Caenorhabditis elegans: one gene and its partner. The protein of the gene in region 1 binds, or shares a complex with, the protein of each later gene. Each region holds a gene or a part of one and is shown on either strand. Other genes may lie near its edges.

The links. The genes of interacting proteins can lie anywhere in the genome.
Region 2: eif-3.E (region 1) and eif-3.B share a complex: the UniProt entries of both Caenorhabditis elegans proteins name them as parts of the eukaryotic translation initiation factor 3 (eIF-3) complex.

What each region holds. Positions count from the first base shown.
Region 1 is NC_003279.8:10,639,483-10,644,842, reverse strand, and holds eif-3.E (Eukaryotic translation initiation factor 3 subunit E), read left to right. Parts: upstream 1-2,561; 5' UTR 2,562-2,567; coding exon 2,568-2,657; intron 2,658-2,725; coding exon 2,726-3,001; intron 3,002-3,047; coding exon 3,048-3,524; intron 3,525-3,579; coding exon 3,580-4,035; 3' UTR 4,036-4,320; downstream 4,321-5,360. Other genes in the region: tag-344 (Protein kinase domain-containing protein), read right to left, coding at 1-241, 289-393, 439-559; B0511.17 (DUF4283 domain-containing protein), read right to left, coding at 1,138-1,264, 1,699-1,814; cdc-26 (Anaphase-promoting complex subunit CDC26), read left to right, coding at 4,616-4,820, 4,866-4,924, 5,092-5,344. UniProt on the Caenorhabditis elegans protein: Component of the eukaryotic translation initiation factor 3 (eIF-3) complex, which is involved in protein synthesis of a specialized repertoire of mRNAs and, together with other initiation factors, stimulates binding of mRNA and methionyl-tRNAi to the 40S ribosome.
Region 2 is NC_003280.10:14,793,166-14,799,712, forward strand, and holds eif-3.B (Eukaryotic translation initiation factor 3 subunit B), read left to right. Parts: upstream 1-2,238; 5' UTR 2,239-2,263; coding exon 2,264-2,345; intron 2,346-2,414; coding exon 2,415-2,608; intron 2,609-2,653; coding exon 2,654-2,986; intron 2,987-3,039; coding exon 3,040-3,747; intron 3,748-3,817; coding exon 3,818-4,678; 3' UTR 4,679-5,070; downstream 5,071-6,547. Other genes in the region: tbc-20 (Rab-GAP TBC domain-containing protein), read left to right, coding at 5,321-5,422, 5,472-5,577, 5,630-5,811, 5,866-6,058, 6,114-6,547. UniProt on the Caenorhabditis elegans protein: RNA-binding component of the eukaryotic translation initiation factor 3 (eIF-3) complex, which is involved in protein synthesis of a specialized repertoire of mRNAs and, together with other initiation factors, stimulates binding of mRNA and methionyl-tRNAi to the 40S ribosome.

The DNA.
Region 1 (5,360 bases):
AAATCTCCTCCAGCACAGTACTCATTGACGAAGATGATGTGATCTTGAAATGAAATCATCTCGTACAAACGACAAATATTATCGTGTTTCAAGAGCTTGACAATCTCTTTTTCACGTGGCAAAAACTTTTTGATGTAGTCCTCTTTTTCACGAGTTGGCGTAATGTTGATGATTTTCGCTGCAACTTCGAGCTTTTTCTCTCCGAAAGTTGCGCGTGCCACACGGGAATAGGAGCCACTACCTGTAAATTAATGAATTATAAATTGGAATTAATTTCCAAATGATTACCGAGAACTTTCTCAAATTTGAGCTTCCAGACCTTCTCGAGTGTTGGAGCAAAAGCTTTCGTTTTTGGACTCAGTTCATCAGGTTCTTCTTGGTTCTCAGAAACATCTGAAAATTAGTTATTTTCTCTGAAAATCTGCATAAAATTCTTACCTGTATTGTTTTCCGTTGCCATTTCAACAATTTGCCAGAGAAATATGAATTCAAAATACTGCGAAATTGGTCGATTTTGGTTCGATGAATATTGATTAATAGATTTTTCTTCTCGATTCATCAGTTCATCAAGACATTTTCACGTTTCACGAAAGGTCACTTTTTTTTCGATTTTTCCTTGATTTCTCCGTAAATTTTCTTTGTTGAAAATGTTTAATTAACATTTTATCGGGAAATAAAAATGTTCGCTACTAACTATTTGCTTTCTGGCGCCTGTTACACACCTCATAACATGCCTAATTCCTATAATCTGGATTCGATAATATTATAGGTTTCTTTAAAATGAAGTCTTTGAAAAAGCATGGATTAGAATGAAAATATAAATAATATGATAATTTGAGAGTAATTGAATAACATATACATTTATAAAACAGAGGGTAAAATGGAGTAGTGCTAGTGGGGGACATTTTTAAAAATTCGAAAAGACCCAAATATCAAAATATAACATTCCAACTTGAAAAAAAAACTGTTTGCACCCAAAAAGTTAAGATTTGGCAGCTGGAAATCTACCAAAACAGTTTTGAACAAATTTTAGCGGTTATTTGAAAATTGAGATCTAAAAATTGTTTGCCTTTTTTATTTTGATATCTTGGTCAATTTCAGTGTATTCTGACATAACAGCAACTGGCTTAAATTGAATTAATAGTTATCGTTTTTCCATACAACAAAATCAAGGCATTCTTCGATAAAATTGACGGTTGCAATTTGTCCATCGTCGCTCTCAATATCCCATCCAAGTGTACAATCCAATTCGTCTATTTTGTATCTGAATGTTATTATTTTTCAAATAAAATAATTTAGCTTTTTTCCTTTAATCTCTACAGTAGATAGGTAGCAAGAATTTCTTCAATTAGTATGGCACCCCATCGTTCACGGTTGAGAGCTTATATCTCGGTTGTTTTCAAAAATAATTAACTGATGAAATATTTGGTAGTTCTTTTTATATCGTTTTGTAGTTAATAGTTTTATGATATCTTTGAAATGAACCGAGATATAACCTTTCAAAGTAAAGTAGTCTGTTGAACTAATAGAGGAAATACGGTATGTCAAGATCTTTAGAAACAATATGTGTAACCAAGACCCACAAGTCAAACTATATAGTCAGGTTTTGTTTCAACTGGGTGGCACACTACCCTCAAGAATCAGGGCTCTTCATGTAGCCCACTCGCCAGCTCTACGACAAATAATTTATATTCTCACTTGAACACTTTTGGTCTTCGCTTTCCATTCCACGGTCTGTGAATAATTCGATGCATTACTCCTTCATAGTTTTGAGGTCCATATGAATTGAATCGTATTCTTCGTAGATTCGGCATTCCTCCTGACATCAAATACCCGAATTTAATGTTGATCAAACCGAAATGGGGCAACCTGACACCACATGAATTTACGGTCTCGTCTGTTCCCAAAAATTAATAATAAAGCATTCTAAATTTTACTGTTCGCTTTTCTGTGCATTTCAAAATTTGAAATTTCATAAAACTTGTGTCTCTGACACATCGGTAAAATTTGGCACACTATTATTGAGATCGTTGCGGGACCCACTCGAAAAATTAATATGTGATTTTAAACTGACATTTCACAATTACAATATTTAAGCATTGCTTTAAAGCCACACAATGTTTTTCGGGGTGGGTCTCGATACGGGCTCGGGTCTTAATATCTTGTAACTCTTCCTAATCCCAGGAACATTATGATTCGTTCGTAATTTCTCAATTTGAATATTTTAAATTAAAAAACTTTTAACTGAAATTTTAGAACCAAAAAACTCCGAAATATTTTTCAAATGTCGCAAATTGCAGTTTTCGGTTATTCTTCTCGTAGTTCTACTTCTCGCAGTTCTCATTTCGCTGGTGGCTCGTGTTGGCAGGCAGTAGCAACGACACTCCGATATTCCATAGCGCGCGTTGTTTATCATTTCCTCCTTTCCCGGCGAATTTCTCCTAATTTCTCGATTTTCTTTCTGCAATTTCATTGTTTTTGTTTTATTTATGTTTTCCGTTAAGAAAATTGATTGGAGTTTTATTAGAACATATTACTATACTAATACGCTTATTTTACAGGTAAAAATGTCGACATTCGACCTGACTCAGCGCATGGCGCCTTTTCTCGATCTTCATTTGATCATTCCGCTCTTGGAGTTCATCGAACCACGAGGAGTAAGATTTAAACAATAAATTGTTGATTCTGAAATAGCTGAATTTATTTATATCAATGATAATTGCAGATTTACGATGAGAAATCCCTGACCGAAATGCACCGCCAGCTTTTGACCAAGACCAATATGATTGATAGTGTTATAGAGACCTACAATGGAAAACCTATTCCGGCTGCAATTGAGGCTAAGAAGAAGCAAATTATCAAGGAGAGAGATGAGCTGAAAAGCAAGGTGGACTCCGTTGTTGCCATTTTGGAAATACCGGAAGTCAAGGAAATGATGGATAACAACAGAGAAAGAGATGGAAATGTCCGTATTTTGGAGCATCTCACTCAAAACCACAATGTACGTTTTTGCTTTGCAGTTTCGAAAATAATCTTAATTCTTGCAGTTCACAGTAGACATGGTCGATACCCTCTTCAAGTACAGCAAGTTCATGTACGAATGCGGAAATTACACCGTCGCATCCGTGTGCCTTTACTACTACCGCAACCTTGTCAATCAAGCGGATCCAAACTATTTGAACGCTCTTTACGGAAAGTTGGCCAGTGAAATTCTGCTCCAAGAATGGGAACATGCTCGTGACGATTTGCTGAAACTTCGTGCTTACATCGATGCTAATCCATTCGACACGGAATGGGAACTTGTTACGCAACGTGCGTGGCTTATGCACTGGGCACTTTTCGTCTACTACAATTATCCAAAAGGGCGTGATGAGATTATCGAAATGTTCTTGAACCAGCAACCTTATTTGAATGCAATCCAAGTTTTGGCGCCACATTTGCTCCGCTATCTGGCTGTTGCCGTTGTTACCAGCAAAAGCCGCCAGAAGAACAGCTTGAAAGATTTGGTGAAGGTCATTGACATCGTGAGTTTAACTATTTTCTATATGAAAATATGATTAATTATTTGTTTTTCTACAGGAACGCCATAGTTACAAGGATCCCGTCACTGATTTCCTCACCTGTCTCTACATCAAATATGATTTCGACGAGGCTCAAGAGATGCTTCAAAAGTGCGAAGAGGTTCTCTCCAATGATTTCTTCCTGACTGCTGTCCTTGGAGATTTCCGCGAGTCTGCACGCCTTCTCATTTTCGAGATGTTCTGCCGCATTCATCAGTGCATTACCATAGAAATGCTAGCACGACGATTGAATATGAGCCAAGAGGAAGCTGAACGCTGGATTGTTGACTTGATCAGAACGTATCGTATCGAAGGAGCTAAAATTGACAGCAAGTTGGGACAAGTGGTGATGGGTGTCAAATCCGTCAGCATCCACGAGCAAGTCATGGAAAACACGAAGAGATTGACCCTCCGCGCTCAACAAATCGCCCTTCAATTGGAAAAAGGTCGTCAAGACAAAGTCAAGGCGACTTAGGCTTTACAAGTTCTTCCGGTTTTGAATGTTTTTTCCTTTTTCTTCATCTGATGCTGTTCTGAAAATTGAGATGTGGCAAACACGGAGATTAAGACTGTCATCTCTCAGTTTTCAGTATTATTTTTCTTTCTTATTTGTTCAGCTCCTCGGTTTTTTACGAGGACTACTCGAATTCTGTCTTTTCTAAACTTTCCTTATATCCCTGTTGTTTCTTTTTGTTGTCTCTGACCCTTCTTTCGTTAGTGCAGGGGCTGGAGGTTCGGTTCTAATTGGTTAAAATAATATATTTTCTCTTTTATCATGGTTTGATTATTGTTAGAATCTAGGTTTATGAAACCTTTCAATATATATTTATTGCCGTTGCCGAGAAATTGTTTGAAATTATTTTTTGTGAGGAAAAACACTTCCATCTGTATATTTTGTCATTTCTGTTGAATTTGCCTTACTTTTTCGCTAATTACAGAAATATTTAAGCCATAGGTTCGATTTTGCCGTTTAAAAATTAAATCTCCAAAAATACACATTTTCGCCAATTCACAGTTTTTATGAAATTAAATAATTTATCTCACTCTTTTTCAGTATGTCAATGTTACGGCGTCCATTAACACAATTAGAATTGTGTGAGGACGATATCCAATGGCTGACAGATCAACTGAACAAGAGGGTACTTCCAGCTGTGATCGTGCCAAAATGCGAAATGATGGATATTGACGAAATGGAGCCGATGGATCAGAGTGAGCCTCCACGTGGCATAACTAGGAGAAATCTCAGATCGGCGGATAGAAGTGAGATGATGATTTATTTAATTTTTCCTAACCTAGCTTTTTCAGAGAACAGAGACGTTCCAGGACCAAGTACGGGAGAGTGCACGCGTACTTCCATTGCACCGGTAATTTTTTTTTTTAAATTAAATGTTTTAAACATTACCTTTTAGAATCGATGTGAAATGTCATTCACTGAAGTGCAGGTGACATAATTTTGTGTTGTTGGTGTTTCGAACACTTATTTCTATTCACTTTTTCATATTTATCTTATGGCTATTCTCCGTATTTCCAGACTTTAACATCTGCTCGAACTCCTGTCGCTGCTCCAACTCTAACACTTTCGACGCCAGTCAACCCTGTCTCATCAGCTGAAATGTTGAGAGTTATGCCACCTCGTGTAGGTCGACGTCCACGAGCTTCTCGTTCTGGTGACAATGATTCGCCACTCCTCTTCAACGCTTATGATACACCACAGCAAGGAATCAATGACGAATCTCCAACACCCTCTGACTCTCCCGAATCTCCTAATGCTCATCTCTATGGTGGTCAATGAGTTGTTGG
Region 2 (6,547 bases), on another chromosome or scaffold:
ATCCGAAGATCTACTGGCGTTTGATCGAGTTGCCCGCCTTTTTCCTCACGGACTAGATCTCTACCCCACAATGGGATTAAACAAGACCGACCCTAGACAATCCTAGAGTCAGCTTAATCTGCCAGCAGAATCCACTGACCCTTGGGTGGCCGTCCCGTTTTTCAAGATTTCTAGGGATTTGCGACCTTTCTCACGTCACGTGCGTTACCCAGCACCGGCCAAGTGATGCAAGAAAGGGCTTGGAGGTCCACATCCAGTGAGTGCTTAGCTACAGCTAAACGACCACTGGAACAGGAAGTCCCCGGTGATGATCGTATTGAACTACACAACTTTATTGTAGTAAACTACACTACCGGTTATTATATCCAGACATAGTCTCCCGATGAAATACTCTCACTTGTTCAAGTGTGAAACCCGAACCTTGCTCTTGTACAGTTGATAAAACTAATGTAACTCAAAATATGAAACGGCCCAAGACTATGAAAGATATTTTAAGTTTCCAAGTTCTTTCTTAAATTCCAAAACTTCTTTGATTCAACAACTTTCTACTAAAACGCTCATAGCAAATCATCTGCAAGGACGAATCCATTGAGAATAATGTATACTAATCATCATGTTATAGTAAAAATTGCGTGATTTGTACAGTAAAAGGTCAGCAGCATTGTTGTGAGGACTACCCCCTTGGATTGTTGCTTGCTCTTTGATTGTTGAGCGGGCATCGACTGGAGCTCGGTATCGATTGTGCTAGCCAAATAAAAATCGATTAGAGGTGTGGCATTTGAAGAACATCAAATTTCTATAGATACGAAAGTGTCTATATGTATCAAGTAGCAGACTAAAAAAATTCCAAAAAAAATCGCCTACCCCACCTCTATTTTCGATTTTAAATAACCAGTCATTCGATTGAGCGCGCAATTGAGTGCCGCTAGGTCATCAAACAGGGCCGCTCATCGCAAAAACATAGCTTGACAAAATGCTGCTGTGTTACCGTACTAATCATGGAGAACCAAGAATCATCAATCATGAAAAAGCAAGACGATCCGCAGAAGAATAAAAAAGAACTGCTAAAAATCATTTGTGGTTTTGCCTTTAACTTTTCGTTTTATACAAGCTATCCCTTCCGTCGAAGCTGGCAGATTTTGTACCGGCAATACTCTCACTTTTTCCAATGTAAAGCCCAAACCTTTCTGTTGCACAGTCGACAAAACTCATCTAACTCAGAATATGAAACGACCTAACCCTGTCAGAGATATTTTAAGTTTTCAAGTTCTTTCTTAAAATCCAAAACTTCTTTGATTCAACAACTTTTTACTGAAACACTCATAGTCCATACTCTGCAAGGACGAATCCAAAGAGAATAATGTAAACTAATCATCATGTTACAGTAAAACTAACAAAAACACAACTCCGTATCCAGACATAGTCTTCCGATGCAATACACTCACTTTTTCCAATGTAAAGCCCAAACCTTTCTGTTGCACAGTCGACAAAACTCATCTAACCCAGAATATGAAACGACCTAAGACTATCAGAATTATTTTAAGTTTTCAAGTTCTTTCTTAAAATCCAAAACTTCTTTGATTCAACAACTTTTTACTGAAACACTCATAGCAAATCATCTGCAAGGACGAATCCATTGAGAATAATGTATACTAATCATCATGTTATAGTAAAAATTGCGTGATTTGTACAGTAAACGGTCAGCAGCATTGTTGTGAGGACTACCCCCTTGGATTGTTGCTTGCTCTTTGATTGTTGAGCGGGCATCGACTGGAGCTCGGTATCGATTGTGCTATTTACTTAAACAACTGATCGATAAATATATTTAAAATGTACTCGCTGCCGCGTTCTCCGGAAAAAAGGGCAAATGTCCGCATTTCTTCGTAAAGTCTGGTGTTTGCGTACACCCATTTTTCTTTCATTAAATATTTATAAATGCATTGATTCGCGTTTGAGTTTCAAAATTATCTCTATTTGAAATTCCGCGCAAATCTCATGGACGCGGCCTAGGATTCTCTTCGGTCGAGCGCTTGCAACGACGCTCCGTTCTCCCGCATGGGTGTTGTTTAGAGTTTGTTCATATTCCAAATATCGGTCCTATTTTTCAGATTTTCCAGCGTTTTCCAACATTTTTCCACAATTTTCGGAGAAAATTCTGTAAAAATTCAACTTATCTCGTTTTTCCTTCCATTTTCCTTTAAAATATCTCACAATTTACTCAATAAACCGTGTCTAAAGTTTCAGACTAGTTGGGTTACACAGAATGGTCGAAATTGACTTTAATAAAGAGAACGAAGAAGATTTTTCGGATCCGCCAGGATTTGTTGACGACGTCACCGATGATGGTTGGTTTTTTATTCAATTTTTTGAAATCAATTCCAAAAAATAGCCAACAATCAATGTTTTTATTTCAGTTCTCGTTCCTGACGTTCTCCACAAGAAACCAACTATCGATGAATTTGAAGACAATTGCGTCTTCATCGCGGGAATCCCAGTTGTTGGAGCTGACCGTCTTGGAAAACTCCAAAGTGTACTGAAGAAGGTTCTGGAGAGGTTGGATCCTGCAGTGAAGCTCTACATTCCGCCAAGTCCAGAAGGAGGTTGCTTGGTGAGATTCACGCAAACGATATCGATTTTAATATATTTTTTCCAGGGAGTTCTGCTCACCGAGTGGGCCGATCAACGATCCGCTCAGTTCGCCGTGAAAAGTTTGAATGGATATGCTTTCGATAAGAATCACACATTCACCGCCCGTTCTTTCAAGGATATGAAGCAACTCGAAGCTCCTTCCGATCACTGGACAACTCCAGAGAAGCAGGCTTATAATGACGTTGGAGATCTCTGGTGGTGGCTTCAAAACGAGCGTTGCCGTGATCAGTTCGCAATTTCCCACGATAAACTTGGAGTTCCAACTGTCGGAGTGTTCACCAATATGAAGGGAAATGATCCAGAGCTTGCAGGAGATGCCGATAAGGCTGAAAGAGCTGTAAGTTTTGAGAATTATTTGTTTTTAAAAAATGAAATAATTTTTTTTTCCAGAACTGGACCGAAACCGTCTTCACTTGGTCACCACACGGCTCCTACCTTTCCACGATCCATAAGCAAGGAATCATACTTTGGGGAGGCAAAGACTACGCTCGTGCCCACCGTTTCGCTCATACCAACGTTCAATACATTGATTTCTCGCCGTGTGAGACCTACCTTGTTACCTACGCCGCTCCGGAAGAGTCGAACAGCTGGGGAGACTGTGAGAAGGATAGTTTGAGAATTTGGGACGTCCGAACCGGAGAATTGAAGAAGGCCTTTTCCACTTTCGAGCTCACCGGAAGAACTCAGCTCCCAACCTGGCCATTCTTCAGATGGTCATTCGATGAGAAGTACTTCGCGTGCCTCAAGGCTCCAGAAAAGGATAAGCTTGAGCGTGAGCAGAAGATCAACGGAATTTCGATCTTCGAATCCGAGAAGTTCGAGCTCTATGAAGGCCGTCCCGTGAATATCGAGAATATCAAGCAATTCGAGTGGTCGCCAACATCCACAGTCCTCGCCTACTATTCAGAGTGCACTGACGCCGTTCCAGCCGAGTTTGGACTCTTGCAAGTTCCATCAATGCAGAGACTTCGTTCGGCTCGCGTTCACAATGTCGCCGACGCTCAGATGTTCTGGCAGAAGAGCGGAAAGCGATTGGCCTTCTACACGATGAGATTCAAGAAGAAGGAGTACAGAGAGACCGGAGAAGTCAAATATGTGGTAAGTTTTGAGTTTTTTAAAGGATTTTTTGAGGCCTATGACAATAATAATAATAATGATATAATTTCAGGGAGGATGCCAATACCACGTGGACATCTTCGAGATTGACAAGAAGGACGTTTCCCTTATGAATCTCCCACTTTCGGAGCCATTCATCCATTTCGATTGGGATCCAGAAGGCGATAAGTTCTGTGTGCTCGTGGGAAACACCGCTAAGGCCACTCCACAAGTCTACAAGATCGAGGCTAACAGCCACGCACCGAAGCTTGTGAGCAAGTTGGACGCTGGAGTTCACTTCAATGAGGTTCAATTCGCGCCGAAAGGAGGATGGCTTGCAGTTCTCGCCAAGGTGTCAGCTGGAGGAAACGTCTATTTCATTGATACTTCTTTGTCGGAGGCCAAGAGAACTAATGTTATAGAACATCCACTCTTCAATAAGGGATATTGGGATCCAACTGGAAGATACTTTGTGACATGCTCAACGTTGGGAGGAAGAGCCGGAGCCGATTTGGGTTACCGAATCTTCACATTCCAGGGAAGAGAACTGTGCAGAAAGAATCTCGACCGGCTCGCCCAATTCAAGTGGAGACCACGGCCGCCGGTGAAGTTGAGCGAACAGAAGCAGCGTGAGATCAAGAAGAACTTGAAGAAGACCGCCGCCAAGTTCATCAAGCAGGATGACGACGAAAAGTGCAGAGCCAGTCAGGAGGTTGTTGAGAAGCGACGCAAGATCATGGCTGCCTTCGATATTATTCGAAGCCGGAATCGCGAGCAACTCGACGCCACCCGTGACGAGAGAATCTCTCTTCGAAACGGCGTGGACACAGAAGCCCAACTCGACGAGGACGAATTTGTGGATGAGGAGATTACCATTGCGCTGAGCACAAGCAAAACACAAGCCCCTCTGACGGAGGAGGAGATGAGAGACTAATTAGTTATTTGATTTCCCGGTTTTTCCCCTTTTTTATGCGCTGCTTTTTCTTCCTGATTTCTCGAAGACTTGGAGCGGCGTCCCCTCTTTTTGGTGGTTCCACCATGTACTCGTTTTCGTTTTCCTCTTCATTTTCCCAGTCATGTCGTCATTTTCTGAACAACGCCTTTTTCTATGGCAAATTTAACTTTATGATGCCTGAATGGAGAAGGTTTTTTCAAGCTTCTTTTGGGCGGCCCTAATATTATTTAATTGTTTCTCTCTATCCACTTTAATATCTCTTGTTGCTCCCGTCTCTCCGTGTTTTCTGGTGGTTTTTGCCGATAAAATGTTGATGAATTAGTTGATGTTTCAGATTTTTTCCAAATAAACAGAAGTGAAAATTCATAAATTATATTTTTCAGCGCTATAAAATTGTGATTCTGAAAAAAAAATTCCACGTTTATTAAAAATTCCACAAATGGTGCAATGTGACGTGACGGTGTATGCACACTTTGCATTAAATTTGACGACAAATGTCTCATCGGGTTTTCTGTCAATTTTTAATCCACTTTCTCTATTTTACTCTGTTCTTTTTATACTTTTTTAAAATAAAATTTCTATAAAAAACTTTAAACTTCAATTTTAGCAATTAACCCGTTCATGCACTCATCGTTTTCGGAGCCAAATTCGCCGTTGAAAGAGGTGCTCGTAGATAAGTGGCAGACAGCCTCATGCAGCGATTTGGGCGAAGAATATGTAAAAGTAGGGGTTTTTAATGAGAAAATTTAACGAAAAAAAATCAATTTTTCAGCCGGGACCCCTGGCGAGAGCAAAATTCAACGCGTTGCGAAATAAACGCGAAGCAATTGATCGATTTTTGAAAAAGCACCGAAAAGAGGATCTCAGCTTATATATTGGTAATTTTTATTATAGAATTTGAATTTAAATTTATCAAAAAACGATTTTCAGACGAACTCCGCGATTTTGCGATTTCACCCGGCGGGCTTGTGGACGATGAGTTCCGCGCCGTCATTTGGCCAGTTTTATCCGCGAATTTAGTGCAAAACGATGATTTAGACGATGTTTCTTCGTCCTACGACTCGGATTTCGAATCTGCGCAGTCGGATTTCGACGAGGAGCCTGCTTATGAGGTTTTTACACTGAATATAAATTTTTTAAATATGAAATATAAGCTTGTGTTCCAGGAAAGCGAGGAGCTGACACTAGAAGATTTAAAAGGCCACAAAGAATGGAATCAAGTAGAATTGGACGTTCATCGGACGCTTTCCAGGTTCCCACCGAACATATCAGATACCCATCGAGACGTGCTTCAAACCGAACTCATTCCATTAATTGTACGGGTGCTCAGTATTAATCCACGGTTTAATTATTATCAGGGTGAGTGAAATGATGTGAAAATAAATATAACATAATTTAAATTCAAATTTTCCAGGTTTCCACGACATTTGCCTCACAGTACTTCTAGTTTGCGGCGAGGTAGATGCTCTCCCAGTCTGCTCAAATCTCGCGAAAAATGGCTCATTCAACAACTATTTGCTAAAAACTCTCGAAAAATCCGTAGTCCGAGAGCTGGATCTCCTCTACGTCATCTTGTCACGTGTCGACCCATCTTTGGAGCAAGTTATGCGATCCGTCGAGCTCGGCACCATGTTCGGACTCTCGTGGCCGTTGACCTGGTTCTCACATACACTGAAGCAATATCAGCAGATTGTTCGATTTTTCGACGTCTTCCTCGCCTCCTCGCCACTGCTTCCGATCTACGTGTCGGCGGCTGTCGTCGTGTTTCGACGGGCAAGCATTCTGGCTTGTGAGCGAGAAATGCCATTTCTACATCGTCTGCTCACCGAAATGCCCCACGAGTTGCCC